Macaca fascicularis: one gene and its partners. The protein of the gene in region 1 interacts with the protein of each later gene in a biochemical or structural test. Links are inferred from orthologs where the notes say so. Each region holds a gene or a part of one and is shown in the gene's direction. Other genes may lie near its edges.

Region 1 (3,500 bases):
TTCAAGGTCAGCAGAGACCCTACTAGAGAAACCAGTTCTACAGAAATGTTTTTAAATGTGTCGATGATTGCTACCTGTATACTCTGTTATTTTGTCATGTAACCATTTTATTTATTATTATAATAATAAAAGAGTGAAATTATAATAATGTGCAGAGTACATTTTACTGTGCAGTGTATTGCATTAAAACTAGATTAAAATTTATACATCTATAAAAGGTTATCTAGATATTATAAAATTTATGGCTGGATCTGTAAAAAATTCAAAACCTATTTTTAATCTTGCTTCAAGATTTTATAACAAGAAAATGTTCATTTGAAGCAAAATTTTCAATTCTCGTCCTTGAAAACGAAAAAAATGACAACTTGAAACACATAATTGACTATTTTTAAAGGATCAACATTTCAGAAATGTTTTAAAACATAAAATTTTCAGTACAGCTTTTCACTGGCATTTAAATCGAACTTTGAATTGTAAATAGCTCTTACTCTTAAGGAGACATCAGCCATATCCTTAGAAATGGCACGGAGTTGGTAGGTAGTTGTACAAAATTCTAGCCTAAAAGACAAGTAGGGAGCAACAATACTGTGGACCCTTTCTGGTCTTGGGCTGTGTGGCTATGTCAGGCTTCCCCACATTGCCTGAACTAAGGAGAAAGCCTCTTGTCCTTACAGGCCCCTTAGCTTCTGTGACTTACATAGTCTATTTGAAAATGAATTGCTTTGTCCACACCATTTAACTATTGGCTTCTTCAACTGGTGAGATGAAACCTATACAATAATCATGTGACTAGCACGAAAGAGCTGACATGGTGTAACTCCTCTCAGACTGAGGCTTATCTGGGGAGTACAAATCATATCAAGAAAATGTGCCTTCATTTCCTTAGATGAGTGTCCCCATCCTCCACTCTCCTCCACTGTTCTCCTCTCTGCTTCTATGATACCAACTTTTTTTTTTTTTCTTTAGATTCCACATGAGTGAGATTATGTTGTGTTTGCCTTTCTGTTTCTGGCTTATTTCACTGAACAAGAAAATTTTTGACATGAAATTAAATTTCTGCCTATAAACTCAATTCAAACTGTTTACACTGTCTTCTCAAAAATGTTAACTTATTGTAATAAACCTACTGAATGACCGTATCACATTTTGTTTTGTGAAAACGAATTTTAAGGGTGCTCAATAGCCTCTTCATTTTCATACTGTCCAGCTCCTTTGCTCCTATTAAAATTACTGCAAGTTAGCTTTTAAGAACCCTATGTTTCACTACCTGAAGTTCTATAAAAAGATCCAAGTTCCTTCAAAACCATTTCTTATGCTGTCATTCATACATATGTGATAATACCGTGTCTGAACACACAGATAAGAAGTATGGGCTGGGTGCGGTGGGTCATGCCTGTAGTCCCAGCACTTTGGGAGGCCGAGGCAGGTGAACCACCTGAGGTTAGGAGTTCGAGACCAGCCTGGCCAACATGGTGAAACCCTGTTTCTACTAAAAATACAAAAAAAATTAGCCAGGCATGGTTATGGGCACCTGTAATCCCAGCTACTCAGGAGACTGCGGCAGGAGAATAGCTTGAACTCAGGAGGTGGGGATTGCAGTGAGCTGAGATTGTGCCATTGCACTCCAGCCTGGGCAACAAGAGTGAAACTCTATCTCAAATGAATGAATGAATGAATGAATGAATGAATGAATGAATGAATGAATAAATAAATAAATACAAGTATGTATTGTGTTGTTTAGAATGTGTGGTGGAAATGAACTTGCTGAGTGAGCTCAAAGGATTGGCACTGAATTGAAATAAAGAAATACTCATGTTGAGTCTGGTTCAACTATAACTGCACCTGTAAGAATTGCTTTCCTTAGTATAAAACAAATCCAAATCACTCATGGCTTTACATTCTGGATCATTAAACTTGAAGCACTTTTTAATACTGCATGACTTTAACAAAAATATCTTAGCCGAGATTCAATGTTTGGTTGAGCCACGCTCACTTGGACACCTTGGTTGCTTGTTTCTTCTGACCCCTCAGTTGTCTATGGCATGTGTAGATACAGGTGTATGGAAGTCGATGGCTAGTGGAAGTGGAATGATTTTAAGTCACTGTTATTCCACCACCCTTTAATCTGTTGTTGCTCTTGATTTGTACCAGTGGCTGAGAAGACCAAAGAGCAAGTGACAAATGTTGGAGGAGCGGTGGTGACGGGTGTGACAGCAGTAGCCCAGAAGACAGTGGAGGGAGCAGGGAACATTGCAGCAGCCACTGGCTTCATCAAAAAGGACCAGTTGGGCAAGGTACGGTGTGTACATTTTGTGCTACATTTATAAGCTGGTGAGATTATGGTTCATTTTCATGTGAGGCCTGGAGGCAGGAGCAGGACACTTACTGTGAGGAACAGCTACCTGACCCTCCCCTTGTGAAAATGTGCTACCTTTATATTGGTCTTGCTTGTTTCAGGCATTAACCCAGATAAATGCCATGCAAATTTTATAATTATCATGATTGTTTCAATTTCTAGAAGAAAGTTAATGAAATAAAAAATGTAGCAAAATGTCAAAGGAACAGTGACATTTCAAAAAGAATGAGGACTTTCATGTTAACTATAAGTCTTGGAATTTCTCTTCCTTGGAATAACAAATCTCTTTGTGCCTAATTTCTTAATTTCCAAAATAAAATTCTTTTACTTGATTTCTTTATAGTGACATCATCTCTTATTAAATGGCATATTTGCATATTACATAACAGTTCATTGCCAAATACATGTTTGTGAGAACTAAGAGGTTTAAAATATATACCAACCAGAGATCATAGTTTTGAGGTAGATTTTAAAATTCTGAGAAGAATTTTGACTGAATTTTTTTGACAAACATGGGGCACAAATAAGATTATACCAAAGATACTATAACTTTCATTTTAAATATGAAACTAATACGGTATGAGGTGTCAACAATGATGAAATTTTACAAATGTCACCACTACAACAGCAAAATGATTTTTGCTTTTTCCCTGTCTCCTTGCTATTTCTTGAATAAATCAAGCATACCCTTGCCCTGACACATTACTGGGGAGGCCTGCCTTAATCTATATAAAATTGGAGCCATTCTTCTCACCTCTGGTATTCTCAGTCTCCCTACTCTTTCTTTCTCCTTCCTTCCTACCTTCCTTCCTTCCTTCCTTCTTCCTTCCTTTTTCTTTCTTTCTTTTTTCCTTCCTTCCTTCCTTCTTCCTTCTCTCTTTTCCTTCCTTCCTTTCTTTCTCTTTCTTTCTTTCTTTCTTCCTTCCTTCCTTCCTTCCTTCCTTCCTTCCTTCCTTCCTTCCTTCCTTTCTTTCTTTCTTTCTTTCTTTCTTTCTTTCTTTCTTTCTCTTTCTTCCTTCCTTCCTTCCTTCCTTCCTCTTTCTCTTTCCCTTCCTTCCTTCTTTCCTTCCTTCCTTCCTTCCTTCCTTTGTTTTTCTTTCTTTCTTTGCCAAAGTGTTCTTCACCTTTAAATATAATAAATAAT
Region 2 (4,262 bases), on another chromosome or scaffold:
AATTTTTTTTTTCTTTTTTTGAGATGGAGTTTTGCTCTTGTTGCCCAGGCTGGAGAGAAATGGCACGATCTTGGCTCACCGCAACCTTTGCCTCCCGGGTTCAAGCGATTCTCCAGCCTCCGAGTATCTAGGATTACAGGCATGCGCCACTACGCCCCCCTTATTTTGTATTTTTAGTAGAGACAGGATTTCTCCATATTGATGAGGCTGGTCTCGAACTTCTGACCTCGGGTGATTCACCCGCCTCGGCCTCCCAAAGTGCTGGGATTACAGGTGTGAGCCACCGCGCCCGGCCACCCCAGTGGACTTCTAACCGCTCCTACCTTCCCTCCTACCTACCTCCCAACTCAGGCTGTATCATCTGTTGTAGTGTCTTGAAGAACCAAGGAGGAAAATTGCACCAGCAGAAAAAAATTGAGTCATGAAAGATGTGAAAAGATAGAAACATTACATATCATTTATTCAGAAGCAAAGTCTTTTACAGTGGAGGTGAGTTTGGACCAAGTGAACTACACTTTTCATAGTTGCCCCAGTGGGCCCGTTTGATGCTTGATAAACACACTCTAGACAAGTGGGACTTGCTGTCTGGATACCGGCTGGATAAAGAACAATGAGTATAGATTTCTTGGAAAATAGACATATAAATTCAGGGATGTCTTTATTCCTCCTTCGCCTGGGAATTAAACTCATTCTTCCAAAAGTTCAAACAGTTATCTCCTCTTTGAGACTTTTTACAACTCCCAGAGTGCTCTAGTTGCCCTCTCTATGTCTATACAACTCTGTCTTTATTCTTTCAGCAAGTATTTGTTGAACATTTTTTATTTGCGATTCACAGTCCTGGGTTCTAGGCACACACGGTTGAAAGGTACACATAATCTAGCATTATCACGTTGCTTTGAAATTCAGTGGCTGTGTGTCTCACACCCCACCCTGTCTCCCAACTGCAATCAATACTTGTTACAATGAAGGCAGGAATGAAGTCTTCATATTTGCATGCCCAGGAACTGAACTGGAATCTGATGACACGCACTACATGACTCCTCCTTACACTGCCACCACCTGAATGAGGCAGCTGCCCTGGGCCCAGATGCTGACCTCATACTGTGCTTTCTGATGTGGCAAATAGACGTTTTCAAGCAGTCCCAGGGAGGCAGAAAGGCCAGTCCTTTGGCCCCTGGAACCTCAATGAGTCAATGTTTAATGCAGCCACGAGTCTAGTCACAAGTATAATTGTTTTTGACTGGTCCTTTGACTCAGTGACCATTCCTGGCATTCGTTTGCGTTGTGAACTATGATTCTGTTTCTCCTAATGTAGTCTGGGTGTAGCGTGGAAGCCCCAATTTAATAATTTCCGACCTCACTAAGTGCAAGGTCACATTCCAAGCTCCAGAGCTTCATTAAGGAACTCCTTCCCCCGCCCTCTTTTCTTAAGCATATATGCTACCGACGCGGAGGGCACCTCACTCGCTCTACAAGTAGCAAGACCCGTTGTCCTTTAGGAATACGGAGGTTTACATCTTCGTTCTGAGGGTGGGGGAAAAATCAGTTGTCACTTTAAAAGAGTTCGCGCTTAAGGCAGAAGCCGCGCCGAAGCGTCGCGAGAACTGTAACAACCCGCAACTTCTCGCGATGTTTGGCCCCGCTAAAGGTCGCCATTTTGGAGTCCACCCGGCGCCTAGTTGCCCCGGCGGCATCGCTCAACCGGCTGCCGGGACCAAAGCTGGTCCCGCGGGTGTCTGGCCTGTGGGCAGCCGGACCGACACGATGTGGCGGCTCCGCTGCAAGGCCAAGGACGGCACCCATGTTTTGCAGGGGCTGTCCAGCCGGACCCGGGTGCGGGAACTCCAGAGCCAAATTGCCGCCATCACCGGGATCGCCCCCGGCGGTCAGCGAATCCTCGTCGGATACCCTCCCGAGTGCCTGGATCTCAGCAATGGGGATACCATTCTGGAAGACTTGCCCATCCAATCTGGTAAGGAATCAGGGCAGGGGCCAGGGAAAGTCCCGGGAGGACGGAGAGGGGCGTGAGAGAGAACAGAACACTAGTCAAGGCAAGGTGGCTGTGGGTCGGCGGGGGACTTTGAGGCCAGGGGCGAGGATAGATCAAAGAACAGAAAACTCTGACGGGGGCCGGGGCAAGTGTCTAGCAACTCCTTGTCTTGACACAGGGTTGAAAGGGAACCCAAAGGCTTGAAGTCCCCCTTCCCCAATCCGCTTTCTGCTCGGCTTTGAAACTATCCCATTTTGTTTTCCGTCGGCGTCCACAAAAATATGAAGAAGTAGGGCCTATTTTCTCTGTCCTTATGTCTCTTTTCCCCTGTATCATCGATGAGATCTCAAGGATGCAGGATTTTTTTTTTCTTGGTTCATTTTTGCAATCCCCTTCATAGATACTTCGTTTGACAGGCATACTCATTTTCGAGTCAGCTTTTAAACACCCACTGAAAGCCCTTTCAATTTCTAACCAGTAGCAGTTATTTTTGTGCCATATCAAAACTTAAACATCAGTGTTTATAATTAAAAGCTTTCAGTTGCTGTATCAAGGACGCTGTAAACACTCAGAGTAGATAAGTTCCCAGAGAAGAGACCCCCCTAGCGGCCTACTCTGTAGTGAGCACCTTCTGTAAAATACTGTATAAGGAAAGGAAATTTTGTTTTTGAAATGTATCTTTTTAGGTAAGCTTAAAGTTGTTTACTCCAGACCGCTTCACTAAATTGGGATGCAACCTGAAGTGTCTTTGTTCTTTGTTCTTTTTTCATCTTTATGAAAATTCAGTGAACAAAGATTGTTACTGGTAACTTATTTGCAAAGCTGTCTTCTCTTTAATAACCCCAGTTTATGCTTTAACTCCTTCAGTTTGTAATTTACAGACTTGGCTAGTGAACACTCGGTTTCTTCTATAATTTCTCTGCAGATCGGGATTTGTTTTATTTTTAACAGGTGACATGCTGATCGTTGAAGAAGACCAAACCAGGCCCAAAAGTTCACCTGCATTTACTAAACGTGGTGCTTCTAGTTACGTCAGGGAAACTTTGCCTGTGCTTACCAGAACCGTGGTCCCAGCAGACAATTCTTGCCTCTTTACCAGTGTGTACTATGTCGTCGAAGGAGGAGTCTTGAATCCAGCTTGTGCCCCTGAGATGAGACGCCTCATAGCACAAATTGTAGCAAGCGATCCGGACTTCTATAGTGAGGCAATACTGGGAAAAACAAATCAAGAGTACTGTGACTGGATCAAAAGGGATGACACTTGGGGAGGAGCAATAGAGATATCGATTTTGTCCAAGTTTTACCAATGTGAAATATGTGTAGTGGATACACAGACAGTAAGAATTGATCGTTTTGGGGAAGATGCAGGATATACTAAAAGGGTTCTGCTTATTTATGATGGCATCCACTATGATCCACTTCAGCGTAACTTCCCTGATCCAGATACACCTCCTCTGACCATTTTCTCCTCTAATGATGATATTGTTCTTGTACAAGCACTGGAATTAGCAGATGAAGCTAGAAGAAGGAGACAGTTTACTGATGTCAACCGCTTCACCCTGAGATGCATGGTATGTCAGAAAGGATTAACTGGACAAGCAGAAGCAAGGGAACATGCCAAGGAGACAGGCCATACCAACTTTGGAGAAGTGTGATCTATGCATGAATGAGGGTTGAAGTCTACTACCTCACAGATCCAGAAGGCTCTGGGTTTTCCAATAAGCTATCGTAACCCTAAAGAACAAAGGACACAATGCTTGAACCATCCTTTTGACTTAAAACCACTAAGACACTGAAATTCCTTGTTAAGATTAAAATTAGTGTGCAAGTTTACAGATGTGTGTCTACAGTGGTAAACTGTACATACATGCCTCTTTCTGCTGGAGTGACAGAATAGGTGATCCTTGCCACCTACTGACACTGACCTGAAGATTGAGATTGAGTATTATAAACTAGCACCCAGCAGCTTTAACTTGTAGAAGAAAGCATCACATTTTGGGTAATGTGGAAGGCCTCCTGTGAGTCCACTGGACATTTACCACAGTGTCTCCAGTAACCGAGTCTTTTTAAAAACTCTGAATCAGTTAAGTTTCTAAATTATGAATTGATTCATCAAATGAAGATACTCAGAATTGTCCAAACTGATTTTATATTGCAATTTGGTATACTTTATAAATGTGTGCTTAACCACTGATAAGTACATCACAAGCAATTTTTACAGGGATGAGTCTCATCCTTGAGAATGTTATCACAAAACAGGAACTGATTGTGC
Region 3 (4,040 bases), on another chromosome or scaffold:
TTATTTTTCCTTCCTTACAATATTACTCACTCAGAATTGTTGTAGGATTAAATAAGGCATTTCAAAATACTGCACAGTCCTCAAATGTTACGCTATCGTAATTAGAACAAGAAAACAAAACAAACAAAAAAAACGTGTTCCTAGGTCAAACTGCACAGTAAAATCTGGAAATTGGAAACTAAGCCGTGTTTGCACTCACTGGCCTGCGCTCTCTTCATCCTACCAATCCCCCTACCCCCAGAAAGTCTCGGATTGACTCTCCAGGAACCAGGGCAGTTCATGAGCCATCTCAACAGATGCATTCGGAAGAAGTCATAGATGACTCTGCAAACTCACAATCGGCATCGATTTTTAGTACCAGTAACTGTCAAAGCCCCACTGTCGTCAACCGCTGCCCACTTGACACCTAACGGCACTTCCGGAACATTCCACAAGATGGCGCCCTTGCTTTCCAATCATCGGGCTACCGGCGGAGGACGCCTTGCCGAGGCGTCGACCTCGTTCTCCAAGGTTCAGGGGCTGACCTCGGACAGAGGCTCGCTCTAGGGGGATGGGCGGGGGCCAGCACTGGCACTGTTGGCCGATCGGCCCGGGATCCCAGCGTGCGGGCCCGAGTCTGCCCCAGCGCGATGCGGCGATGGGCTCGAATGCCCGGCTCCCCGAATTCCGGCCTTTCACCCGCACGGCCTCTCGGCACTGCCCCAGCTAGACACCAACGAGCGCGTCACGCGCGGGGCCTTGTCACACGGCCGGAGGAGGCCTCGCGTGCCCGTGCGGCGGGCTCCGGGCACCCTGATACCTTGACACAAGAGGCGCCGGGTCGTGGGGCGGCGGGGAAGGGCTGTGCGGGGGAGGGACTGCGTCTACACCCGCGCCCAACTCGCTCCGGTCACGGCACTGCCCTGACACCAGGCGGCTGGGGCGGGGGTGGGGCCAGGCATCGGCCCTCGGGATTCTGTTTTCTAAACTGAGGCTCAGAGCCTTCGAAGAACGTGGCAGCAGGGCCCACAGACGGCCCTGAAGGCCTTCCCGTGGCTGCGAGAGTTCCCGGCGGCCGGCGTTCGAGGCGCGCGGCTCCGCTCCGAAGCGAGACCTAGGTGGCAGGACAGGACCTGCTTCCCGGCCAAGCGCGCTCGGCAGGCCGTGGGGCGGGGCGTCGGCCGTGTCGCGGTGTCGCGTATCGAGTCTCCGCCCCCTTCCCGCCGCCCAGTATATAAGACTTCGCCGAGCCTTCTCACTCGCACAAGTGGACCGGGGTGTAAGGTGCGCGTTGGCACCGGAGGCAGGGGTGCGAGGGCCACGGCCGACTCGGACGTGTGACCGCGCCTAGGGGGTGGCAGTGGGCAGTGCGGGCCGGCAAGGCTATCATGGAGCTTTTGCGGACTATCACCTACCAGCCAGCCGCCAGCACCAAAATGTGCGAGCAGGCGCTGGGCAAGGGTTGCGGAGGGGACTCGAAGAAGAAGCGGCCGCCGCAGCCCCCCGAGGAATCGCAGCCACCTCAGTCCCAGGCGCAGGTGCCCCCGGCGGCCCCGCACCACCATCACCACCATTCGCACTCGGGGCCCGAGATCTCGCGGATTATCGTCGACCCCACGACGGGGAAGCGCTACTGCCGGGGCAAAGTGCTGGGAAAGGTGACAAGCGGAGGGCGCCGGGCTGCCGGGCGGGCTGGCGGGCGGGAGGTCTGTCCGGGCGACCCCAAGCCGGGCAGGCCCGCGGGGTCCCGCGCCCGCCGCTTCCAGGTTTTTCGGGGGTCAGATCCCAGCGCGAGGTGGGCTCCTCACCTGCTGCCTGGCTTTTGTGCACCGGCAGCGCTGGGGATCGGCTTTGCCTGCCTTAGCCTCACAACTGTGTGCCACCCCGCAGCCCAGAGAAATGCATCTTGAGTCTGGAAGCGAGGGCTTTCTGTATCAGACCTCTCTCCCTCCATCTGCTCCGAGGGAATTTTCCTAACAAGTCTCATCAGACATTATTTTTCATGTCTCCCCGCTCCAACTCCCTCCATAAAGCTCCCCTTTATATTATAGGAAAAAAACTGTTTGAAGTTGCTGTTTCCAGCAATGCGTTTCTCTTCATGAGGGAGCTTTAACGAAGTCGAATGCCTTCCTCTGACCACCCTTCTCCATTCCTCAATTTTTTTTTTTTGCTTTTCTTTCTTCCCATTTATTTATTTATTTTAAATATCTGCCGTCCATTTTTGTGCCATACTCAATTCCGTCTCGGCTTTGTTTCTTTTCAGGGTGGCTTTGCAAAATGTTACGAGATGACAGATTTGACAAATAACAAAGTCTACGCCGCAAAAATTATTCCTCACAGCAGAGTAGCTAAACCTCATCAAAGGGAAAAGGTGTGTATGACTCTTGAGTAAAGTATTTTCTTTGTGTGCAGGGATGGCCCTTCCCTGTTAGGAAAATGTCTTCTGCATGTGTAATCACTGGCTTTTCCGAGGTGACTGGAGGCTAATAAGCCTTGCCTTGCTTTTTCATTTAGATTGACAAAGAAATAGAGCTTCACAGAATTCTTCATCATAAGCATGTAGTGCAGTTTTACCACTACTTTGAGGACAAAGAAAACATTTACATTCTCTTGGAATACTGCAGTAGAAGGGTAAGTGTCAACTCCTATTTGAGAACATTTACTTACCCCGAATTAACACGGTATTCAAAAAGTATTTTATCTGGTATTTTAGCTGTGGCAGTATTTACACTGCAAAGTTAACTTTCATTGCATATCCTGCAAAGGGAAACCAGTGATTTTGATAACTGTTTGACACATTCTCTTTTTTCCTTCTTCTCTTCCTAGTCAATGGCTCATATTTTGAAAGCAAGAAAGGTGTTGACAGAGCCAGAAGTTCGATACTACCTCAGGCAGATTGTGTCTGGACTGAAATACCTTCATGAACAAGAAATCTTGCACAGAGATCTCAAACTAGGTAAGTCCTTGATGCCAAAAGCTGAGTTTTGTGTTAGAGTTCCTTTTCTCTCTCTGTCTATTTTTACATATGAATGTTCTTAATTGGGATCTAGCGTCTGCAATCTTGCTTTTGAATGGGCGTCTTTCATATAACAATTGGCTGCCTGGCTCCAAAGTGGATGTATGTGTACTTGTTTAGAATGCATTTTCAAAAGGATTCACTTTTTTTTTTTTTGTTTATCATCTAGGGAACTTTTTTATTAATGAAGCCATGGAACTAAAAGTTGGGGACTTCGGTTTGGCAGCCAGGCTAGAACCCTTGGAACACAGAAGGAGGTAAGAGTCCGAAAGATGCATCCTAGTAGGGTTTTGTGGAGAGACCAAACATGCCTTCGCTGTTTTGCATTTCATGTTTCAGAGGTCCAGTGATAACATCTATAAATCATAGCAATGTTAATTTAAAGAAATACTTACTGAATGCCCACTATGGACTAGACAGAGCACGCTGTGCCTCTAAATTGATTATGAAAGCAGTCAATGAAGTCTTTTCTTGGCCTGAAATGTATAAAATGCCACGACGTCCCTGGTTTTATTTGGTTAACCACACGTTGCATGTGGGCTAAAACAATGTGTGTGCACTGTAAAAAATTACCAAAACTCACTTGGTCAGATCTCAATTGTTCAGATGCTAAAAGTCAAATGTTTCCAAATAGAAATTCACTGTAGATATTAAGATTTTGTTTAAGATTTTGTCTCCCATCAAGTCACGTCAAGAGAACCAAGTTTAAATAGTGGAGTAATTCCTAACACGATCTCAATATTTCATCTTTCCAGAACGATATGTGGTACCCCGAACTATCTCTCTCCTGAAGTCCTGAACAAACAAGGACATGGCTGTGAATCAGACATTTGGGCCCTGGGCTGTGTCATGTAAGTAAATGCAGCAGAATAATTAAAAAGCAAATTTGGATTTAAATTTTAACACTTGAGTTGCTTTATGACCATTGCTAAAGATGTGTTTCTTTGCACACAGGTATACAATGTTACTAGGGAGGCCCCCATTTGAAACTACAAATCTCAAAGAAACTTATAGGTGCATAAGGGAAGCAAGGTATACAATGCCG
Region 4 (3,960 bases), on another chromosome or scaffold:
CTGTGCCAAGGCTGTCCTCCGTGCTCCATACACGTTAGCTTGTCACCAAACATATCCGTGTCACTGCTTTCCCAGTCTGATGAGCAAAGGAACCCGATGCTCAGAGAGGACAAGTCATTTGCCCAAGGTCACACAGCTGGCAACTGGCAGAGTCAGGATTCAAGCCCTGGCAGTTTGACTCCAGAATCCTAACCTTAACCCAGAAGCACAGCTTCAAGACCCTGGAAACCACAATGCCTGTGGCAGCCAGGGGGAGGTGCTGGAATCTCATTTTACACGTGGGGAGGGGTGGGTCCCCTGTGCTCAAGGTCACAACCAAAGAGGAAGCTATGATTAAAACCCAGGTCCCACTCGCAAAGCCTAGACTTTTAGCAGATGCACCACACTGTTCCCACCCCCCTCCCATCCCACTTCTGTCCAGTCGCCTAGCCCCACTTTCTTTTCTTTTTTCTTTTTCTTTTTTTGTTTTTCTTTTTAGAAAGCATCACTCTTGCTCAGGCTGGAGTGCAGTGGCGAGACTTCGGCTCACTGTAACTTCCACCTCCTGGGTTCAAGTGATTCTCCTGCCTCAGCCTCCCAAGTAGCTAGGATTACATGCGCCCGCCACCACGCCTGGCTAATTTTTGTATTTTTAGTAGTGATGGGGTTTCACCATGTTGGCCAGGCTGGTCTCAAACTCCTGACCTTAAGTGTTCCGCCCACCGTGGCCTCCCAAAGTGCTGGGATTACAGGCGTGAGCTACCGCGCCCAGCCCCTCCCATCCCACTTCTGTCCAGCCCCCTATCCCTACTTTCTTTCTGGGATCTAGGAGTCCAGATCCCCAGCCCCCTCTCCAGATTGCATTCATCCAGGCACAGGAAAGGACAGGGTCAGGGAAGGAGGACTCTGGGCGGCAGCCTGCACATTCCCCTTCCACGCTTGGCCCCCAGAATGGAGGAGGGTGTCTGGATTACTGGGCGAGGTGTCCTCACTTCCTGGGGACTGTGGGGGGTGGTCAAAAGGCCTCTATGCCCCACCTCCTCCCTCTGCCCTGCTGTGCCTGGGGCAGGGGGAGAACAGCCCACCTCGTGACTGGGGGCTGGCCCAGCCCGCCCTATCCCTGGAGGAGGGGGCGGGACAGGGGGAGCCCTATAATTGGACAAGTCTGGGATCCTTGAGTCCTACTCAGCCCCAGCGGAGGTGAAGGACGTCCTTCCCCAGGAGCCGGTGAGAAGCGCAGTCGGGGGCACGGGGATGAGCTCAGGCGCCTCTAGAAAGATGTAGCTGGGACCTCGGGAAGCCCTGGCCTCCAGGTAGTCTCAGGAGAGCTACTCGAGGTCGGGCTTGGGGATAGGAGGAGCGGGGGTGAGGCCAGCAGCAGGGGACTGGACCTGGTAAGGGCTGGGCAGCAGAGACGACCCGACCCGCTAGAAGGTGGGGTGGGCAGAGCATGTGGACTAGGAGCTAAGCCACAGCAGGACCCCCACGAGTTGTCACTGTCATTTATCGAGCACCTACTGGGTGTCCCCAGTGTCCTCAGATCTCCATAACAGGGAAGCCAGGGGCAGCGACACGGTAGCTAGCCGTCGATTGGAGAACTTTAAAATGAGGACTGAATTAGCTCATAAATGGAAAACGGCGCTTAAATGTGAGGTTAGAGCTTAGAATGTGAAGGGAGAATGAGGAATGCGAGACTGGGACTGAGATGGAACCGGCGGTGGGGAGGGGGAGGGGGTGTGGAATTTGAACCCCGGGAGAGAAAGATGGAATTTTGACTATGGAGGCCGACCTGGGGATGGGGAAATAAGAGAAGACCAGGAGGGAGTTAAATAGGGAATGGGTTGGGGGCGGCTTGGTAACTGTTTGTGCTAGGATTAGGCTGTTGCAGATAATGGAACTAGGCTTGGAAGGCTAACCTGGGGTGGGGCCGGGTTGGGGTCGGGCTGGGAGTGGGAGGAGTCCTCACTGGCGGTTGATTGACTGTTTCTCCCTCCCCAGACTGGCCAATCACAGGCAGGAAGATGAAGGTTCTGTGGGCTGCGTTGCTGGTCACATTCCTGGCAGGTATGGGGGCGGGGCTTGCTCGGTTTCCCTGCTCCTCCCCCTCTCATCCTCACCTCAACCTCCTGGCCCCATTCAGGCAGACCTCGGGCCCCCTCTTCTTCTGCTGGTCTGTCTTCCCCTTGAGGGGAAAGCCCAGGTCTGAGGCTTCTATGCTGCTTTCTGGCTCAGAACAGCGATTTGACGCTCTGTGAGCCTCGGTTTCCTGCCCCCGCTTTTTTTTTTTTTTTTTTTTGAGCCAGAGTCTCACTCTGTCGCCCCGGCTGGAGTGCAGTGGCACAATCTCAGCTCACTGCAAGCTCCGCCTCCCGGGTTCACGCTATTCTCCCGCCTCAGCCTCCCGAGTAGCTGGGACTACAGGCGCCCGCCACCATGCCCGGCTAATTTTTTGTACTTTGAGTAGAGAAGGGGTTTCACTGTATTATCCAGGATGGTCTCTATCTCCTGACCTCGTGATCTGCCCGCCTTGGCCTCCCAAAGTGCTGGAATTACAGGCGTGAGCCACCGCGCCCGGCCTCCCCATCCTTAATATAGGAGTTAGAAGTTTTTGTTTGTTTTTGTTTTGTTTTGAGATGAAGTCCCTCTGTCGCCCAGGCTGGAGTGCGGTGGCTCCCAGGCTGGAGTTCAGTGGCAGGATCTCAGCTCACTGCAAGCTCCCCCTCCCAGGTTCATGCCATTCTCCTGCCTCAGCCTCCGGAGTAGCTGGGACTACAGGAACATGCCACCACACCTGACTAACTTTTTTTGTATTTTTAGTAGAGACGGGGTTTCACCATGTTGGCCAGGCTGGTCTGGAACTCCTGACCTCAGGTGATCTGCCTGCTTCAACCTCCCAAAGTGCTGGGATTACAGGCGTGGGCCACCGCGCCCAGCTGGGAGTTAAGAGGCTTCTAATGCATTGCTTTAGAATACCAGACACGGGACAGCTGTGATCTTTATTCTCCATCACCCCACACAGCCCTGCCTGGGACACACAAGGACACTCAATACATGCTTTTCCGCTAGGCACGGTGGCTCACCCCTGTAATCCCAGCATTTTGGGAGGCCAAGGTGGGAGGATCACTTGAGCCCAGGAGTTCAACACCAGACTCGGCAACATAGTGAGACTCTGTCTCTACTAAAAATACAAAAATTAGCCAGGCCTGGTGCCACACACCTGTGGTCCCAGCTACTCAGGAGGCTGAGGCAGGAGGATTGCTTGAGCCCAGAAGGTCAAGGTTGCAGTGAACCACGTTCAGGCCACTGCAATCCAGCCTGGGTGACAGAGCAAGACCCTGTCTGTAAATAAATAACGCTTTTCAAGTGATTAAACAGACTCCCCCCTCACCCTGCCCACCATGGCTCCAAAGCAGCATTTGTGGAGCACCTTCTGTGTGCCCCTAGGTACTAGGTGCCTGGACGGGGTCAGAAGGAACCTGAACCACCTTCAACTTGTTCCACACAGGATGCCAGGCCAAGGTGGAGCAACCGGTGGAGCCAGAGACGGAACCCGAGCTTCGCCAGCAGGCTGAGGGGCAGAGCGGCCAGCCCTGGGAGCTGGCACTGGGTCGCTTTTGGGATTACCTGCGCTGGGTGCAGACACTGTCTGAGCAGGTGCAGGAGGAGCTGCTCAGCCCCCAGGTCACCCAGGAACTGACGTGAGTGTCCCCATCCCGGCCCTTGACCCTTCTGGTGGGCGGCTATACCTCCCCAGGTCCAGGTTTCATTCTGCCCCTGCCACTAAGTCTTGGGAGTCCTGGGTCTCTGCTGGTTCTAGCTTCCTCTTCCCATTTCTGACTCCTGGCTTTAGCTCTCTGGAATTCTCTCTCTCAGTTCTGTTTCTCCCTCTTCCCTTCTGACTCAGCCTCTCACACTCGTCCTGGCTCTGTCTCTGTCCTTCACTAGCTCTTTTATATAGAGACAGAGAGATGGGGTCTCACT
Region 5 (3,500 bases), on another chromosome or scaffold:
TCTACTAAAATTTAAAAAAAAAAAAAATTATCTGGGCATGATGGTGGGTGCCTGTAATCCCAGCTACTCGGGAGGCTGAGAAGGGAGAATCAGTTGAACCTGGGAGATGGCAGTTGTGGTGAGATGAGATTGTGCCACTGTACTCCAGTCTTGGCGACTGAGACTCCATCTCAAAAAAAAAAAAACAAAAAAAACCTCTCTAGGCTCGGGGCGTTGGCGCATGTCTGTAATCTCAGCACTTTGGGAGGCCAAGGTGGGTGGATCACTTGAACCTAAGAAATTCAAGACCAGCCTGTACTCCAGTCTTGGCGACTGAGACTCCATCTCAAAAAAAAAAAAACAAAAAAAACCTCTCTAGGCTCGGGGCGTTGGCGCATGTCTGTAATCTCAGCACTTTGGGAGGCCAAGGTGGGTGGATCACTTGAACCTAAGAAATTCAAGACCAGCCTGGGAAACATAGTGAAATCCCATCTCTACAAAAAAACCAAAAACTATATATGTATATACACACACACACACACACACACACACACACACACACACACAGAGAGATTAGCTGGGTGTGGCACCCATGTAGTCCCAGCTACTCAGGAGGCTAATGCAGGAGCATCAATTGACCCTAGGAAGTCAAGGCTGCAGTGAGCTGTGATTGTGCCACTGTACTCCAGCCTGAGTGACGGAGTGATATCCTGTCTCAAAAACAAAACAAAATATCTCCCCAAACCTCTCTAGTTGCATTCTTCCCAACACCCATTGCCAGAATTCCTACAAGAGGAATTGAAAGTTCCAGAAGCCTGTGTGTAAGGTCCAGGGTCACTTGCTCTTCCTTTGCAGGTACTGACAGACCCAGAGGCAGCTAAGTATGTTCATGGCATTGCTGTACATTGGTACCTGGACTTTCTGGCTCCAGCCAAAGCCACCCTAGGGGAGACACACCGCCTGTTCCCCAACACCATGCTCTTTGCCTCAGAGGCCTGTGTGGGCTCCAAGTTCTGGGAGCAGAGTGTGCGGCTAGGCTCCTGGGATCGAGGGATGCAGTACAGCCACAGCATCATCACGGTAAGCCACCCCAGTCTGCCTTCCTGCAAAGCACACCCCAGACCCCTTAGTAGTCTCACCAAAGACTGACAGACCTTTCCTGTCCAGCTTTGCCCAGCTAGCCTGCCCTTTTGGGCAACTGGGGAACCATGATTCCCTGTCTTGCCTTTCCTTCACAGGTCTGCACACCTCATTGCCCCTTTTTTTTTTTTTTTGAGACAAAGTTTGGCTCTGTCGCCCAGGCTGGAGTGCAGTGGCACGATCTCGGCTCATTGCAAGCTCCGCCGCCCGGGTTCACGTCATTCTCCTGCCTCAGCCTCCCGAGTAGCTGGGACTACAGGTGCCTACCACCACGACTGGCTAATTTTTTTGTATTTTTAGTAGAGACGGGGTTTCACCGTGTTAGCCAGGATGGTCTCGATCTCCTGACCTTGTGATCTGCCCACCTCAGCCGCCCAAAGCGCTAGGATTACAGGCGTGAGCCACCACGCCCGGCTCATAGCCCCTTTTGCAAATACTGACGCACTTGCACTTGCCTCAGACTTCTCAGATCCCCTTGAGATGCCTCGATCTTCACACCCCCAACTCCTTAGCAGCTAAGTAATGTGCCCCTCACAGGGCTGAGCTACCCACAGCCACTTCTCCCTCATGTGACCCTTACCTACAGTCTCTGGGGACCCCCAGTGTTGAGCCTTTGTCTCTTTGCCTTTGTCCTTACCCTAGAACCTCCTGTACCATGTGGTTGGCTGGACCGACTGGAACCTCGCCCTGAACCCCGAAGGAGGACCCAATTGGGTGCGTAATTTTGTCGACAGTCCCGTCATTGTAGACATCACCAAGGACACGTTTTACAAACAGCCCATGTTCTACCACCTTGGTCACTTCAGGTGAGTGGAGGGCGGGCACCCCCATTCCATATCAGGCTTATCATCTCCTACATCAGATGGCTTACATCACTCTACACCATGAGGGAGCAGGAAGGTGTTTAGGGTGGAACCTCGGGAGAGGCACACCCATCCCCTTTTGCACCATGGAGGCAGGAAGTGACTAGCAACAGACAACCCCAGTGCCTGAGGCTGGACTGCGATGTAGAAAAGCAGGGTCAGTGCCCAGCAGCATGGCTCCAGGTCTAGAGACCCAGGGCAGAGCTTCTGCAGGAGTTATGGGGTGGGTATGCGGGTGGGTGACTTCTTAGATGAAAGTTTCATGGGCGGTACCCCGAGGGACTCTGACCATCTGTTCCCACATTCAGCAAGTTCATTCCTGAGGGCTCCCAGAGAGTGGGGCTGGTTGCCAGTCAGAAGAACGACCTGGACACAGTGGCACTGATGCATCCCGATGGCTCTGCCGTTGTGGTCGTGCTAAACCGGTGAGGGCAACAGTGGGGTCTGGGAAGTGGGCTGAAGACAGGGTCGGGGGCCTTGGCAGGATCACACTCTTAGCTTCTCCTCCCCACTCCCTAGCTCCTCTAAGGATGTGCCTCTTACCATCAAGGATCCTGCCGTGGGCTTCCTGGAGACGATCTCACCTGGCTACTCCATTCACACCTACCTGTGGCGTCGGCAGTGATGGAGTGGATACTCAAGCTCAGCCTGGGCATTAAAAGGACAGAGTCAGCTCACACGCTGTCTGTGGCTAAAGAGGGCACAGCAGGGCCAGGGTGCGCTTACAGCGACATAAGCCCAAGGGCAGTGGTTTGGGTGATTCACTTTCCCCTCTAGGTATTGCCAGGGGCTGGAGGCCCCTAGAAAAAGACCAGTAAGCCCCAGTGTCCCCCCAGCCCCCATGCTTATGTGAACGTGCACTGTGTGCTGCTTGCTTTGGAAACTGGGCCTGGGCCCAGGCCTAGAGTGAGCTCACTGTTGTACAAACACAAGATGAGGGGTGAGGGTAAGGAAAAGAAGAGACTAGGAAAGCTAGGCCCAAAACTGGAGACTGTGTTTCCTGGAGATGCAGAACTGGGCCCGTGGAGCAGCAGTGTCAGCATCAGGGCAGAAGCCTTAAAGCAGCAGCAGGTGTGCCCAGGCAGCCAGATGGTTCCTGTGGGACTAGCCAGGAAAAATGGCAGCTCTTAAAGGAGAAAATGTTTGAGCCCAGTCAGCGTGAGTGGCTTTATTCTGGGGGGCAGCACCCCGTGTCCGGCTGTACCAACAAAGAGGAGGCACGGGGGCCTCTGGAATGCACGAGAGTAGAAAAACCAGTCCTGGGAGCGTGAGGACAAATCATTCCTCTTCATCCTCCTCAGCCATGCCCAGGGCCCGGGTGCCTGGGGCCCGAGCAGGCGTTGCCCGCTGGATGGAGACAATGCCGCTGAGCAAGGCGTAGCCCACCATGGCTGCCAGTCCTGCCAGCACAGATAAGATCTGGTTCCGGCGCCGGTATGGCTCCTCCTCAGTCTCTGGGCCTGCTGGTGTCTGGCGTGGCGGTGGTACCTCAGCTGAGGGTCAAGGAAGGAAGGTGAG
Region 6 (4,293 bases), on another chromosome or scaffold:
TAGGTGGGGAGCACACAGACTCAGGCCCAGGGGCACGGGCCACCCCAGCCTGCCCACACACAGTTCGTTCACCTTGGCTCAGAGCTGTGGCCCACTCTTGAACCTGGCCCAGGTACAGCAGGTAGTACCTGAGGGTGTACTGTGGGGCCGGCAGGCCGGGCACTGTGACCACTGCCTCATCTGACATGAAGGCCTCCATCTCGAGCTCCAGGCACCAGGACTGCTGTGAGCAGCGAGGAGAAGCAGCCAGACACCCCATCAGGACAAGCTCTGGCTCCGACTCCTGGTCCTAGAGACACACAAGGGCCCAGACTGTCTGCTTCACAGACAAGGACGCTTATGTACCCAAGTCGTGCCCACCCAACTCACCTGAGGCTGTGACTGTGGTGGGTCCACACCGCAGAGGGCAGACAGCTGGGTGACCGCGGCCCCCACATCTGGCAGGAGGCAGAAGGTGGTGGTCGAACAGTGCACAGCCAGCTCAGGGGGATTGGTGGTCACCAGATGCTGTGAGAAGCCAGGTCAGGGTGCCCGGCGTGGTGGACCCACAGGGAGGCCCCGCCCCCACGAAGACCCGCTCTGGAGGCCCCGCCCCGCCGATGCCACGCCCCGATGAAGACCCGCCCTACGGAGGCCCCGCCCTCGAGGCGGGCCGCACCTCGCCGCCAGCTTCCAGGCCAGCAGCCGCTCCAGCTCCCTGTCACATGCTCTCCGCTCTGCCCCTGATGGCCGCTGGCAACTCCTCCCGATACCTGGGGAAGGGCGGTGAGGGGAGGTCCGGCCACAGGGTACGCTCGCCCACCGATCCCTTTATCCCCTTCCACTCTACCAACGGCCCAGGGCTTCCAGCCGCACTCGGGGGTCCGCGCGCACCCGTAGGACCTCTCGATGGCGCTCCGGAATGGCGGCCCAGCGACTGCGGTCCTTACACCCAACAGCGCGGGAAGCCACTATGTTCACGCGGAGGGGCGGGGCCGGCTGCCGGGGGCGGGGCCGGCTGCTGGGGGCGGGGCTTCTGCGTAGGGGCTGGCTGCTGGGGGCGGGGCCTCTGGGTGGGGCGGCCTGTTGGGGGCGGGGCGTCTGCCGATGGGGCGGGCTGCTGGGGGCGGGGCTGGCTGCCGGGGGAAGGGCCTCTGGATGGGGCCCGCTGCTTGGGGAGGGGTCTCTGCGCGTTGCGGCGGGGGCGGAACGCCAGGTGGTCGGGACAGGCTGTTGGGGGAGTGCGCCCTCAGCGAACCAAGGCATCTCACTGGGAAAGTCGAATGTGTGTGGCGGTCGCCGCCGAGGCCGGTTCCGAAGAGGCCTCAGCAGGGCGGGCCAGGGCCTCCGCGAACGCCGACCCTTAAGAGCGCCGAGCGAGGGAACCGGAGTGTTCCTCCCAGCCCCCGACGCCGCGGGCCTAGCGTCCCCGTCCAGGCTGATTGGGCGCACGCGCGGCCCCACTCGCCCCCACCCGTGCGTCCCCGCTGGTCCCGCCCCCGGCCGGAAGTTCCGGCGGTGGAGCTGGGCCGGGCCCGAGAGGATCGCGGGTTCGGGCTGCGGGGCTCGGGCTGCAGGCGCTGGGCCGCCAGGCGCGGAGCTTGGGAGCGCAGCCCAGGCCGTGCCGCGCGGCGCCATGAAGGGCAAGGAGGAGAAGGAGGGCGGCGCGCGGCTGGGCGCTGGCGGCGGAAGCCCCGAGAAGAGCCCGAGTGCGCAGGAGCTCAAGGAGCAGGGCAACCGTCTGTTCGTGGGCCGAAAGTACCCGGAGGCGGCGGCCTGCTACGGCCGCGCGATCGTGAGTGCGCTCGCGCGGGAAGGGCGGCGGCGGCGGCGGCGGCGGCGGCGGCGGCGCCGGGGAGGGCCGGGCCCGTGCCCGGCTGGCCCCACCGAGGGTCTGGTTCCTCTGCGGGGCATGTCCTGGGCTCCTAAAGCCCAGCCGTGGTTCCCGAGCCCAGCGCCGGGTGTCGGAGAACGAGGGTGGGATGCTGGATGGAGGCCGGCCGGGTCGGGGGGAGGGCAGGGGCCCTCGCCCCTTGAGGCTCCCAGGTCCAAAGCCTGGACTCTCCAAAGATTTGGAAAACTTTACAAAACCAAGTGGAGTCAAGCGGATAGGCTCAGCCAGTACTCCACTGTCTGCAGATCCTTGGATCCAGGGGCTTTGACGACTGAGAAGCCTAGTTTCTTGATTCTAGCCAGAGCGCAGAAGCTGGGACGGGCCGTGGGACAGAGGGGGCGCGCTGAGCCTACACCCTCATGCGGCTGGCCCGGCCTTGGTCCCTAGACCCGGAACCCGCTGGTGGCCGTATATTACACCAACCGTGCCCTGTGCTACCTGAAGATGCAGCAGCACGAGCAGGCCCTGGCCGACTGCCGGCGCGCCCTGGAACTGGACGGGCAGTCTGTGAAGGCGCACTTCTTCCTGGGGCAGTGCCAGCTGGAGATGGAGAGCTATGATGAGGCCATCGCCAATCTGCAGCGAGGTTGGCTGACAAGCTGCCCGGTTGTGGGGCCCCTGGGGCCAGGCGGGTGGACTGGCCAGAGAGTGACCTGAAGCCCCCGTTCCCCAGCTTACAGCCTGGCCAAGGAGCAGCGGCTGAACTTCGGGGACGACATCCCCAGCGCTCTTCGAATCGCGAAGAAGAAGCGCTGGAATAGCATCGAGGAGCGGCGCATCCACCAGGAGAGCGAGCTGCACTCCTACCTCTCCAGGCTCATTGCCGCGGAGCGTGAGAGGTGGGACCCTCACCCCAGGTCGCCCTGTCTTGGGGTAATTCTGAATCACCAACTACCAACATGAGCGTTTATTGAAGGTTTTACTGGCGAGCAGAAAACGTGGGGAAGAAGCATGAATGTTAGCCCTGAGGTTGGGGTGTGGTCAGACATCTGGCCAGGTCCATCTCTTACTGGCTCCTGGTCAACCCCCAGGGAGCTGGAAGAGTGCCAGCGGAACCACGAGGGTGATGAGGACGACAGCCACGTCCGGGCCCAGCAGGCCTGCATTGAGGCTAAGCATGTGAGGGTGCCCCCCTCCCACATGTGGGTCTGTGTGTGTGCACCTGGCGTGGGAGCATCCCCGCCTTGTGTTGGGTCTGTGCCCCATGGAGGAGGGAGGTGGGGTGTCCCGCACAAGTGCAGTGCTCAACTCTTCACAGGACAAGTACATGGCAGACATGGACGAGCTCTTCTCTCAGGTGGACGAGAAGAGGAAGGTGAGTGTCTGTCACTTGCTGCGGTGGGTGGCAGGTGCTGGAGCAGTGCCCCTTCCCAGCCTCTGATCGTGTGCCCCTGTGCCACAGAAGCGTGACATCCCCGACTACCTGTGTGGTAAGATCAGCTTTGAGCTGATGCGGGAGCCGTGCATCACGCCCAGTGGCATCACCTACGACCGCAAGGACATCGAGGAGCACCTGCAGGTGAGGCTGCGGCTGGGGGAGCAGGGCCAGCAGCATGGTCCTGGGCCCACTGACTGCCCTCTGCCCTTCTTGTCACTGCAGCGCGTGGGTCATTTTGACCCCGTGACCCGGAGCCCCCTGACCCAGGAACAGCTCATCCCCAACCTGGCCATGAAGGAAGTCATTGACGCATTCATCTCTGAGAATGGCTGGGTGGAGGACTACTGAGATGCCTTGCCCTGCCCAGCATCCTGGTCCAGGAGAGCCCTGGGCGGAAGCCCTCCACCCCTGTACATAGTTTGTGTTGCTGGCCACCCTGGCCCCTTCCAAGTTCAAGTTCTGCTGTTGGGCTCTGGACTATTCCCCCTCTCAGCATAGCTCTTGCTGGGCCATGATTGTCCCCCTTTGTGGGCTGGAAAAGCAGGTGAGGGTGGGCTGGGCTGAAGCCACTGCCGACACTGTCTGTGTAATAAAATCCATGAGCACGAGATGGGACGTGCTGGTGTGTGGCAGGCATGCCTGCCAGCTGCTTTGGCTAGCCGAGGAAGGTGGAGATGAAGACGCTGGTGTCAAGGTTGAGTGTGGCATGCCACCAGCGGTCAGGGAAGTACAGCACCTGGTGGAGAAAAGGGGTGCAGCACAGATTAGCTGGGGGCCTCTGGCCTGGCCTGGCCCTCTCCTGCCAGCCACTGACCTCACCAGCCCGGATGGTACACTCCAGGGGCCGTGCAGACGGTGGCAGGGCTGGATATGTGTCCCGGAGCCAGGCCAGCGTGGTCTTGTTGGGGTGGAACTCTGGTGTCTTCTCAGGTGGGTAGAGGAACCAGCGCTGGGGGCAGGAGCAGCAGCGTCACCCTTGCCTGTTTTGGTCACCGAGCCCCAAGGCTCAACCCCAACCCTGTGCTGACCTTACGGCCGTAGA
Region 7 (2,885 bases), on another chromosome or scaffold:
TTTATCCAGGACTTCACCTGTAACTCCCTATACCTATCAATAGCTGACTCCAAATTAGAAAGAAATAAGAGTAAGGGAGTCTCAGGGAGAGAGTCCTAGCAAAACGGATTCGATTAAACTTCAGTTCCTTGTATAGTTTCTCTAGTTGTTTATGGTCCATCTTCTATTTTAGCATTTATTATTCCATGTAGTCTATCCAAAGACGATTAAGGGAGTTCCAAATGTTTTCCGGAATATTTTGAAAAGAGAGCTTATCCAGTGTACAGATCCTAATAAAGTGCACATTCAGTGTAATTTTATTTTTTAGTATGTTACTTTTTAAATTCTATTTATTTTTCTTTCTCTTTTGCTCAGTAAATTTTGCATGAAACTTTAAGTACTTCTGGCATGTAAACATTATTTGTAAAATAAGTCATGGTTATAATTATTTTTCTCCTGCCTCCTTATGTATTTATTTCAGAAATGAGCCGTCAGACTGCTACAGCATTACCTACCGGTACCTCGAAGTGTCCACCATCCCAGAGGGTACCTGCCCTGACTGGCACAACTGCATCCAACAATGACTTGGCGAGTCTTTTTGAGTGTCCAGTCTGCTTTGACTATGTGTTACCACCCATTCTTCAATGTCAGAGTGGCCATCTTGTTTGTAGCAACTGTCGCCCAAAGCTCACATGTTGTCCAACTTGCCGGGGCCCTTTGGGATCCATTCGCAACTTGGCTATGGAGAAAGTGGCTAATTCAGTACTTTTCCCCTGTAAATATGCCTCTTCTGGATGTGAAATAACTCTGCCACACACAGAAAAAGCAGACCACGAAGAGCTCTGTGAGTTTAGGCCTTATTCCTGTCCGTGCCCTGGTGCTTCCTGTAAATGGCAAGGCTCTTTGGATGCTGTAATGCCCCATCTGATGCATCAGCATAAGTCCATTACAACCCTACAGGGAGAGGATATAGTTTTCCTTGCTACAGACATTAATCTTCCTGGTGCTGTTGACTGGGTGATGATGCAGTCCTGTTTTGGCTTTCACTTCATGTTAGTCTTGGAGAAACAGGAAAAATACGATGGTCACCAGCAGTTCTTTGCAATTGTACAGCTGATAGGAACACGCAAGCAAGCTGAAAATTTTGCTTACCGACTTGAGCTAAATGGTCACAGGCGACGATTGACTTGGGAAGCGACTCCTCGATCTATTCATGAAGGAATTGCAACAGCCATTATGAATAGCGACTGCCTAGTCTTTGACACCAGCATTGCACAGCTTTTTGCAGAAAATGGCAATTTAGGCATCAATGTAACTATTTCCATGTGTTGAAATGGCAATCAAACATTTTCTGGCCAGTGTTTAAAACTTCAGTTTCACAGAAAATAAGGCACCCATCTGCCTGCCAACCTAAAATTCTTTTGGTAGGTGGAAGCTAGACACATGAAGGTAAATGAAAGGAAAGGCTGTTAAATACAGGAAACAGTTGCATGTAGTAACACTAATATATTTAAAAATAAGTCAACAGTAAACCACTGAAAAAATATATGTATATACACCCAAGATGGGCATCTTTTGTATTAAGAAAGGAAGCATTGTAAAATAATTCTGAGTTTTGTGTTTGTTGTAGATTGATTGTATTGTTGAAAAATAGTTATTTTGTTTTGTTTTTGCGTGGGAGTGTGTGCGTGCGTGGGTGTGTGCGTGTTTGGGTTTTTCTCCTTTAACTGACAAGCCATCTTGAGTGGTCATGGGCCACTGCTTTTCCCCTTTGTGAGTCAATACATAGTGCTGCTGTGTGCTTTTTTGTGTGTGTATTTGCTAATTTTTATTAATTTTAGTTTTTCATTAAATAAATTTGACTTTCCTTTCTGTAATTCAGGTTTTTCTTCACTTTTTTTGTACCATTTTAAAGTTAGTGTCTTTTGATATGCATACTTGTTATGGTAAAAGTTTGTAACATGTGTTCAATATTTTCTTTTCCCCCATTAATCAGTTCATTAGAAATATTTTAAAATCAGCTACTTTGTGAAGCTATGAGTTCCAGAAAGTAAAGGTGACATCGGAAAAATGATCAAAAGCTATTTAAAGCATCTGTAAGATGGTCTCTCTCTTTCTCTCTTCTACGGATGAGTCACACCTTTGAGCTTAATCTTTGAAAGGTTAGAGAATAAATTGATTTTTATAAGTACTGCAAATCAGGCTTTTGTTTCCTTTTTCAAATATCTTGGATAAATCACATGTTTAAAATTTGTTCTTGTATTTATTGGTTTTGCAAAAGAAGGCATCGTCATGCACAGTATTTGTAATTAAAAGCAAATCATTTGTTTAAAAAGGCAGTTTGCAAAAAAATGTTTTTGGTCTTTTATAATTCTCATTAAAAGAATTTCTGGCAAATTAAAAAAATCTTACTGTGTCTGCTTTAGCTCTAAGTTTGATAAAATCCAAAGTTATTTTCCTGTTTCATTCCGTACTTTAATTATATAGCAGAAAGCTGTGTGTTGTCATTTTTAAGTGTGGTAGAGTTATACTCTAAATCACAGCAAATAACTGGGTATATGGCTTCTGGATTACAGTCTTTCCCATGCTCTGCCCCTCTTGCCCACATTTTGATTCTTACAACTGTCAGGAGAATGACTAAAATGCTGACCACTTTTCACCTCTTTAAAAAAGCACAATGAAATAATAAATTTACTATTTCATAGCCTAGTGGTTAAGAGCCTTGGTTCTGCAGCCAGACTTCAGGCACCTAAGTGCCAGTCTCGGCTCTACCCCACTAACCAGCTGTGTGACCTTGGGCCCCAGTTTCCTAATGTGTAAAGTGGGGTTAAATTATGGTAGCTACTTAAAAAGTTTTAATGGGGTACAGGTATGTTACCTCAAACAGTGCTTTGTTCATATCAGCA

Evidence for each region.
Region 2: the proteins of SNCA (region 1) and YOD1 form a complex in vitro, tested with the Homo sapiens proteins (2 studies listed by BioGRID, with this or other methods). The link is inferred for Macaca fascicularis from reciprocal best matches to the Homo sapiens genes SNCA and YOD1.
Region 3: of the proteins of SNCA (region 1) and PLK2, one has a biochemical effect on the other in vitro, tested with the Homo sapiens proteins (2 studies listed by BioGRID). The link is inferred for Macaca fascicularis from reciprocal best matches to the Homo sapiens genes SNCA and PLK2.
Region 4: the proteins of SNCA (region 1) and APOE form a complex in vitro, tested with the Homo sapiens proteins (2 studies listed by BioGRID and IntAct). The link is inferred for Macaca fascicularis from reciprocal best matches to the Homo sapiens genes SNCA and APOE.
Region 5: the proteins of SNCA (region 1) and GBA1 form a complex in vitro, tested with the Homo sapiens proteins (2 studies listed by BioGRID). The link is inferred for Macaca fascicularis from reciprocal best matches to the Homo sapiens genes SNCA and GBA1.
Region 6: the proteins of SNCA (region 1) and STUB1 form a complex in vitro, tested with the Homo sapiens proteins (2 studies listed by BioGRID, with this or other methods). The link is inferred for Macaca fascicularis from reciprocal best matches to the Homo sapiens genes SNCA and STUB1.
Region 7: the proteins of SNCA (region 1) and SIAH1 form a complex in vitro, tested with the Homo sapiens proteins (3 studies listed by BioGRID, with this or other methods). The link is inferred for Macaca fascicularis from reciprocal best matches to the Homo sapiens genes SNCA and SIAH1.

The regions. Positions count from the first base shown.
Region 1 is NC_088379.1:95,364,118-95,367,617, reverse strand, and holds part of SNCA (alpha-synuclein), read left to right. Parts: intron 1-2,151; coding exon 2,152-2,294; intron 2,295-3,500. UniProt on the Homo sapiens protein: Neuronal protein that plays several roles in synaptic activity such as regulation of synaptic vesicle trafficking and subsequent neurotransmitter release.
Region 2 is NC_088375.1:64,875,947-64,880,208, reverse strand, and holds the start of YOD1 (ubiquitin thioesterase OTU1), read left to right. Parts: upstream 1-1,462; 5' UTR 1,463-1,629; coding exon 1,630-1,972; intron 1,973-2,915; coding exon of another isoform or gene 2,916-2,938; exon of another isoform or gene 2,939-2,941; coding exon 2,942-3,645; 3' UTR 3,646-4,262. UniProt on the Homo sapiens protein: Hydrolase that can remove conjugated ubiquitin from proteins and participates in endoplasmic reticulum-associated degradation (ERAD) for misfolded lumenal proteins.
Region 3 is NC_088380.1:63,914,523-63,918,562, reverse strand, and holds the start of PLK2 (serine/threonine-protein kinase PLK2), read left to right. Parts: upstream 1-1,240; 5' UTR 1,241-1,367; coding exon 1,368-1,637; intron 1,638-2,242; coding exon 2,243-2,350; intron 2,351-2,493; coding exon 2,494-2,610; intron 2,611-2,805; coding exon 2,806-2,935; intron 2,936-3,164; coding exon 3,165-3,252; intron 3,253-3,750; coding exon 3,751-3,846; intron 3,847-3,949; coding exon 3,950-4,040.
Region 4 is NC_088393.1:52,938,337-52,942,296, forward strand, and holds the start of APOE (apolipoprotein E), read left to right. Parts: upstream 1-1,160; 5' UTR 1,161-1,206; intron 1,207-1,977; 5' UTR 1,978-2,000; coding exon 2,001-2,043; intron 2,044-3,484; coding exon 3,485-3,677; intron 3,678-3,960. UniProt on the Homo sapiens protein: APOE is an apolipoprotein, a protein associating with lipid particles, that mainly functions in lipoprotein-mediated lipid transport between organs via the plasma and interstitial fluids.
Region 5 is NC_088375.1:105,901,645-105,905,144, forward strand, and holds part of GBA1 (lysosomal acid glucosylceramidase), read left to right. Parts: intron 1-834; coding exon 835-1,059; intron 1,060-1,761; coding exon 1,762-1,925; intron 1,926-2,290; coding exon 2,291-2,407; intron 2,408-2,501; coding exon 2,502-2,607; 3' UTR 2,608-3,260; coding exon of another isoform or gene 3,261-3,475; 3' UTR 3,476-3,500. Other genes in the region: metaxin-1-like, read right to left, coding at 3,261-3,475. UniProt on the Homo sapiens protein: Glucosylceramidase that catalyzes, within the lysosomal compartment, the hydrolysis of glucosylceramides/GlcCers (such as beta-D-glucosyl-(1<->1')-N-acylsphing-4-enine) into free ceramides (such as N-acylsphing-4-enine) and glucose.
Region 6 is NC_088394.1:1,434,256-1,438,548, forward strand, and holds STUB1 (E3 ubiquitin-protein ligase CHIP), read left to right. Parts: upstream 1-1,493; 5' UTR 1,494-1,615; coding exon 1,616-1,774; intron 1,775-2,118; exon of another isoform or gene 2,119-2,260; coding exon 2,261-2,459; intron 2,460-2,546; coding exon 2,547-2,712; intron 2,713-2,765; exon of another isoform or gene 2,766-2,904; coding exon 2,905-2,992; exon of another isoform or gene 2,993-3,131; coding exon 3,132-3,188; exon of another isoform or gene 3,189-3,275; coding exon 3,276-3,599; 3' UTR 3,600-3,859; downstream 3,860-4,293. UniProt on the Homo sapiens protein: E3 ubiquitin-protein ligase which targets misfolded chaperone substrates towards proteasomal degradation.
Region 7 is NC_088394.1:44,266,633-44,269,517, reverse strand, and holds the end of SIAH1 (E3 ubiquitin-protein ligase SIAH1), read left to right. Parts: intron 1-460; coding exon 461-1,311; coding exon of another isoform or gene 1,312-1,414; 3' UTR 1,415-2,385; downstream 2,386-2,885. Other genes in the region: LONP2 (lon protease homolog 2, peroxisomal), read right to left, coding at 1,295-1,414. UniProt on the Homo sapiens protein: E3 ubiquitin-protein ligase that mediates ubiquitination and subsequent proteasomal degradation of target proteins.